2 linked regions of the Drosophila melanogaster genome follow. Changing the gene in region 2 together with the main gene of any one other region gives a genetic interaction. Each region holds a gene or a part of one and is shown on either strand. Other genes may lie near its edges. The genes, in order: Den1 and Nedd8.

Evidence for each region.
Region 1: of Nedd8 (region 2) and Den1, changing one suppresses a phenotype caused by changing the other (phenotypic suppression), as found in Drosophila melanogaster (one study listed by BioGRID).

The regions. Positions count from the first base shown.
Region 1 is NT_033778.4:12,336,459-12,340,300, reverse strand, and holds Den1 (deneddylase 1), read right to left. Parts: upstream 2,002-3,842; 5' UTR 1,882-2,001; coding exon 1,853-1,881; intron 1,769-1,852; coding exon 1,048-1,768; 3' UTR 757-1,047; downstream 1-756. Other genes in the region: CG8839 (uncharacterized protein), read left to right, coding at 1-408; CG34021 (uncharacterized protein), read right to left, coding at 2,760-2,963, 3,033-3,314.
Region 2 is NT_033779.5:18,950,240-18,953,756, forward strand, and holds Nedd8 (Nedd8 ubiquitin like modifier), read right to left. Parts: upstream 1,599-3,517; 5' UTR 1,477-1,598; coding exon 1,459-1,476; intron 1,299-1,458; coding exon 1,168-1,298; intron 1,108-1,167; coding exon 1,002-1,107; 3' UTR 767-1,001; downstream 1-766. Other genes in the region: CG10428 (uncharacterized protein), read left to right, coding at 1-685; CG10621 (uncharacterized protein), read right to left, coding at 2,100-2,758, 2,919-3,098, 3,165-3,321. UniProt on the Drosophila melanogaster protein: Ubiquitin-like protein which plays an important role in cell cycle control, embryogenesis and neurogenesis. Covalent attachment to its substrates requires prior activation by the E1 complex Uba3-Ula1 and linkage to the E2 enzyme UbcE2M.

The sequences.
Region 1 (3,842 bases), on a different chromosome or scaffold from region 2:
GCTTCCAAGCACACATTCATTGGCCTGTCGACAGCTATCATGGATAGTGCACAGTGCAAGCACGGATCTCCCAAGTACGATCATCTGGTGCGCAAACGAAATGAGCTGAGGGAGGAGTTGCAAAGCCTGCTGGGCGATAATGGTGTGCTGATCTATCCCACGCATCCCACGGTGGCTCCATACCACAATGAGCCCATTACGCGACCCATTAACTTTGCCTACACTGGTATTGTCAATGTGCTGGGCTTCCCGGCCACCGCTGTGCCGCTGGGCAAGCTGGGCAGCGAGGGTCTGCCACTGGGTGTCCAAATCATCGCCAACTTCAATCAGGATCGACTTTGTTTGGCCGTTGCCGAGGAATTGGAGCGAGCCTTTGGCGGTTGGGCCAAGCCCGAAGTTCGGCTCTAGGAGCAGTCTCAAACGTGCAAGTATGCAGCTTAGCTAGCTTTTAGATAGTAGTGGTCAGGTTAACGTCCTGGTCTCCCCCCACCCATTACTAACTACCCCTACCCACCCGAGCATTCGCCTGGCGATGAAAGGTATTCCTTGTGTACTCCAGTGCCTCATTGTAATATCAATTTTCGATGTGGATTTATCTATTTTGTATGTGTTTTTAAATGTAATCTAATCATAGATCCGCGCGGATCCGTTCCCGTTTTGCATTTATAATAAATAATTGCAACCAACTGATATCTTTGTTTTCATTAATTGGCGACAGGCGCCCATTGACCAAACAAGCAGAGAAGTCAGAATTCTGAATTCGAAGCCAACGCGTTTTGTGGCTAAACAAATCTTTATTTTGAAAGACCAACCTTAAAAATATGCCGACTCACCGCCTCAATTGCTTTTAGTTTGCTTTTGTTTTTTAAACATTTTCATTCGGCAAGGAAAACTAAACCCACTACAACTAGCGATATCATGGATATCGTATTCACATATGTAATTCCGATGCTCCTCTCATTCTTCGGCAACGAGTTACATTCGTAATTTGGTCACTTAAAAACTACTCGGCTGTGGGCGGTTCGGCAGGGCAATCCTCGCTAGCCTCTAGCCCTTGCCGCCCAGCGACAGGATGAGTTTCAGTAGCTCGGTGCGCTTCGCCTTCACGGTGTCGATGTGCAGCGACGGCAGTCCGTCGATCACCTCGTATCTGTTTAGGTAATCGGCAATGTGGTCGGTCATGCAGATAACATGGATGCCACAGTCGTAGCCGTTCGCCTGCTGTAGGCAGCGCATGGGCCGGAATTTGGCCATTCGGACGCCAAGCAGGTCCTTGATCTTGTTCATCAGCTCCAGGGAGTTGCCCGTGTTGTTGTTCCCATACGAATCGAAGTGATAGAAGGTCTTCTCCGGACGCGAGAAGACCAACAGTGACCAGTGGCTGCCACCAGCATCGGTGGTTTCGTTGTCGTTCAGCGCGAAGAAGATAAAGGGCTTGCCAGTGGTGTTGCTCTGGTCGAGAAGCTGCTTCAGCTCCTGGTCGCCCATGTACTTCATACACTGCGTAATCTCCGGCGCAATGAAGTGCAGATCCGCATTGGTCTTGTACTTCATGTGGGCCAGGTATTCGTAGTAGAAGCTCAGGATCTGGTCGTTCAGCCAGTGCGGGCCGTGGAGCAACTGGACGTCGGACATCCGCAGGCAGGAGTCGTGGAAGGTCAGCGAGATGGGGTCTGCCTTGGAGTTGCTGCCCATTTTGGTATGGAAGCTATTGTTGGTGAATCTGGGGCGCCGGCGATTCGTATTCTGGTTCTGGCGTGTATGTTGCCTGGAATGAAAATAAATGGCAAAAAATTGATTTAAATCATGTTGTTGCGACTAGATTCGTGTTGTTCCAGCTGGCGACTATCACCTAAGTATTTTCCTATCGTGGGGCAACATTTTCACTAACAATCTTCGCGAAAATTCGGCTAAAAGAATAAAATTTTTCCGGCGACTAATACAACTCCAGGGTTTCAAAGTCAACGCAGGAATGACGTTTTCGGTTTCCTTTTGCTTTTGCTTTCCCTTTCGTTTGCCGGCCGGTACTGTTGTTATTGTTGTGGTTTCAAAGCAATCAGAAATCAGTCATGCCAAGCGCATTTTAAGAACACTATAATCGTATTTTAAACCAAAATAAACATATCGAAATTAACTAATCTTCGTACAAAGCTGTTTTGTTATTGTCTTTGACAACGAATGGGCGTAGCAAAACAAAATAGAGGACACTGAGGAGGTGAAGGTGGTGGTCAGATCCCCACATATATATTTTTTACTCACCACGAAAAATGGCTACTCCTCCTCCTCGAAGTCGCGACCTCGCTTTTTGTCCGTTCTTTGGACACTCCTCGCGTATTACCATTTATTTGGCTGTTTGGGAGCAAATAACTTGAATTTACCAACTGATATTTTCACTAATATAAAAAGTTACACAACACTCTGAATAGTTTTTCCGCTTTTCCGCTCAAATAATAAGTCGCCGTACTGTATATCTTACTTTCTGGCTTGGGCTGCCAGACTGCTCGCTAAATAGGTGGCAGTGCAGACTGTGAAATGCAGTGTTGCCTAATGTGGCAAAGTTATAAAAAGTAATTTAAATATGTATAATTTAATTACAAATATTTTTTATTCCTTTTAAAAAGTTTTTTGAATTTATTAAGTTCACATTTTTAACATTTCTTGCAATCTGATTTTTTTTTTTTTTGAATTTATTAAGTTCACATTTTTAACATTTCTTGCAATCTGAATTTTTTTTTTTTGAATTTATTAAGTTCACATTTTTAACATTTCTTGCAATCTGGCTTATAATTTTCAGGGCAAACTTGCTTTTCGGGTATGTTGAAACTCGCAGTGGTATTAAAATTAGTTTGGCATTTAGTTTCCGAAGAAGTCTCGCTGGATTCTGGAAACGGGGCACATCCTTCGTCAGGATTCCACGTACCCCCTCGCAACTGCTCTTCCAACCACTTAAGTTGCTTGTTTATCTAGAAAATTACAATTCTTTTAAGCGTTTTTTTTTTCATTTATGTAAATATGCAAACAAAAATTATTGCCTTTTCTACCATCTCCTCGTCTCTTTCGCTTCCAAATAAATTGGCTGTAAATTGGTAGATATTCGATGGCTTTGCCTTAACCGCCTCGGCTGTAATGACCCGAATTATGGCTCGGATCTCTGGATGGCGTTGTAGATATGTCCAATCGTCCTTGCGCATATTTCGGGAAATATTTCCAATAGTTTCATAAAATTTTGATACGTTTTCGTTAATGTTTTTAGCATGACTAGTATTTTCCGTGTTTTCGGTTTCCTCAGCGCTTGATGTTTTCGTGACATCCATATTCACTTTGCCAGAAAAATGTATATTTTCAAATTTTAATTATTTTGAAGTATTTCGTTCATTGGTGCTTGTGGACTTAAAACTCAACGAGTTTTCGATAACCAACATTTTGTACAAAATAGCCAATTCCAAGCTTAAAAATAAAAAATAACCCAACTCCGTGACAATGTTTATTTGAACATTGCCGTGACCAGGATTCGAACCTGGGTGTGGTAACCCACAACGTGGGGTCCTAACCACTAGACGATCACGGCTACATTGGATTGCGCCCAGCAATTCCAAGATCCCACCACGTCACCTAATAAAAAAAAATTGCAGATGTAATTAGTAAACACTACCCCAAATCAAATAGAAAATCAAATAATAAGATTAGCAAAAACATGTTTTATCATTTATTTATATATCATTTCAATTTGTTTAATAATTATTTTCATTTTCATCAAAATAATTAGAGTGTAAAAAAATACCCAACTCCGTGACAATGTTTGTTTCAACATTGCCGTGACCAGGATTCGAACCTGGGTTACC
Region 2 (3,517 bases):
TTCAGCGCTGCCCAAGGAGAGACTCGAGCGCAAGAGGCAGCAGCTAGAGAACTTGGCCAATGCGGTGGTTTCCCTGGCTCAACCGGGCGACCGCATTGTGGACTTCTGCAGCGGCACAGGGCATTTGGCCATACTGCTGGCCCTCAAGCTGCCAAATTGTACCATTATTGTGATGGAAAACAAAGCTTTCTCCCTGCTTCAAGCTCAGAAAAGATCAAACGAATTGGGTTTGACCAACTGCGTTTTTTACCAATGCAACATAGATTACTTTGTCGGAGGATTCAAGATCGGGGCCTCTTTGCACGCGTGTGGAACGGCGACAGATATCGTTTTGCAGCAGTGCCGGAGAGCCAAGGCACATTTTGTTTGCTGTCCTTGCTGCTACGGTTCTCTGCAGCCCATGCCTCACATTTCGTACCCATTGAGCAAAGCGTTCCAAAAGGTGTTAGACACAAAGGACTACTTGTACATTGCCCACTCGGCAGATCAGGCACACGAGATGGGGACAACCAACTGCAAGCCAGAAACCACGCTTCAAGGACTCCACTGCATGTCCGTGGTGGACACCGATCGCCTGCTGCAGGCGGAGGAGGCGGGCTACCAGGTCATTCTCACACGCTTAAAGCCCGAACAGTGTACGCCAAAGAATCACCTGCTAGTCGGACGTTTTGTTAAACAGAACTGAACTTACAATCTGCCACTGAGACAAAATAAATGCCTTTTTGATATGTTTTAAACCTTAGCCCACCATTGTGGAGTGTTCTTCTTTTTTTCGAATGATTTAGATGTTGGCTTACAAAAAAACATGTTTTATTACGGACCCGGTTGGCCCCAATCCATTCTGTCTAAATTCCTCCGATGCGAATACACTTTGTTTTCTTCTAAACCACTTTTAAGACTTCTTTTTAGTTTACATATATTAATTCTCCATATGACGCTTCTCAAGCTTAATATATTTGAGTGAATTTTAAATGAATGTTTTCCACTTATGAACACGCTAGTTACACACAAGGTGTTAGGATTGAATCACCTCCTCGCAGAGCCAATACCAAGTGAAGAACGGATCCACCTTGCACTTTGTAGTCCGCCGCGGTTTTATCGTCATTCCTGGGGGGGATCGCATGCGAAATAAGCTAAAATCAATGACCAATAGCCAGAAAGACTCACATTTGCTTGCCGGAGAAAATAAGACGCTGTTGCTGGGGCGGAATGCCTTCCTTTTCCTCCACGCGCTCCTTGATGCGATCTACCTTGTCCGTGGGCTCAATGTCGATCTCGATTTCCTTGCCGGTCAGGGTCTAATGGAAAGATAATACATATTTACATTAATAATCCAGCCACACATATATTGACTGTAATATTCGACGATTTTGTTGTTGTTCAAAGTGCCCGCTGGGCACGATGGCTGTGATTTATCTTTATCCTACTTTTTTGCTACTCCATATCTTCCACACTAACCTTCACTTTGATCAACATTTTGTGTGTATTTAACTAGGCGCTCCTGTACAAATTCAAAATTGCCGAAATTTTTGCAAATCTCCACAGCTGGTTCTCTTTTTTGGCTGTCACTTTCGGCGTTGGTACGACTGGCAACTATCGATAGTACTGTCGATGACCATCGATTGTTTTCCACACTATTACAAATATAGTATTTTCTCCATCATTCCATCTCTACACAATTCACGTGTAAAAAAATACATTTCGAAAAAGGAGAACTTAATTTATGTAAATTTTTTGTAGCTTGATTTATAGTGTGCCCATTACGGTTAGAAGTCTCACATATTTAGAATTCAAATTCTCCTTAAATTATTTTACTCATGAGATGCAAAAATCCATTGAATGCCATTACTACATTTTTTAACTTTTGAAAAAAATGGAAGGCGTCACTTTTGAGGGATTTGAATTAAGAGCAATTTGTTTATTAATGTTTTATCTCGGATCTTAGAAAATTAAAAAGTATTTTTTTGTCTTTTGTCTTTTCTGTTTTATTAAAATAAGTTGTATGCCTTAATAACTAAATACATTTATTTACAGTACTAAATGGATAACTACTTTGTTCTTTTCGAAGGTACTGAGATCCCCAGCTTAGAAGTTCATCCCTATGAGAGCTTCTTCAGTTTGTTCCAGTCGCGAATGGCCTCCCCGATGTGGCGTATATCCCTCGCATAAGTGCGACAGCATCCCCCAATGACCTTGGCCCCCAGTTGCGCCCACTCCGGAACGTAGTTCGCCAAGGGCACACAGTGCTCCCTTCCCTGCCAGCCGTTGACCACGTCGTATACCTCTCCGCTATTGGGGTACACCACCAACGGTATCTGCTCACCCACTTCGCGGTCACCATTCAAACTCTTAAAGAGCGGGGTCACAAACTTCGGATGCACACAATTTACTCCGATGGCCAGGCACTTATCCTGGGCATTTCGTTCAGCCAAGAGGTCCCAAATAGCATTCGCCGCGTCCGCAAAGGTTTCTCCATGCGCCAGGGTATTCTCATCCTTGCACTGGAAGGCCACCCAGAACTTCACATCCGGATAATCATCGCACAGCATCTCCACCAGGGCCTCCGCCTCCATTTGACAGGGAATCGTCTCGATGGCCAGCGCATCCACACCAGCCTCCAAGCACGCTTCGATCCTCACGCGATGCCAGTCCGTAATCTCCTTGGCCGGCACAAAGTCGGCATAGCTACCGGTGTACTCGGAGCCATCGTGCAGGTGGGCCCCAAAGGGTCCAATGGAGGCAATGATCAAAGGGTATCCTTTAAAAACAATAAATTGGAATATATAATTGGTAAATATTACTATATATAAAATAAAGTATTAAAGAAAGTATTAAAAGTAATGACCCTACCACATCATTCACTTGACCACAATCTAAATTAATCCCGCCCGAGCTGGACCTCATGGATGTCAACTTACCCTCCTGCACCGACAGCTGCGCCTGATAGCACTCGGTGAGATAGCGTTCCTTGGCGATGTGGGCCAGGCGGACCGTGTTCTTTATCAGCTCGATGCTCTGCTCCTCGTCCAGCTCCAGGTACTCCATGTAACCATCGACACTGGACTGGTAGGTGTTGGTCAAAATGATATCGGCACCATCTGGTGTTGTCAAGGGGAAAATTCAGTTAGTATGTTGCCAATTGCTACCGGAAAACAATTGCTTACTCTGCAAAAAGTCCAGGTGGGTGCTGATAATGGCCGCCGGATTGGTGGCATTGAAGCGGGCACTCCATAGCGGATCCCCATCCACAGAGTCACCCACATGGACGGTCATCTGGGTGCCGAAACCGCCATCCTTCACCAGCACGCGCGTCAAACCCATGATTGAAAGATTACTAAGAGGGGTGGAGGATGATCCGTTGAAAATTGATTATTAGTTACATTTCTACGTCAGCGGGCTGCGAGATAATTAAATATGTATATTGCGTCTGCCACCTGGATTCCACTGCACTCAGGGCGATGTTATACAATGTATCGGAAGAACTAATCTCTATTTTTCAGTTCAACGAACTTGGCAG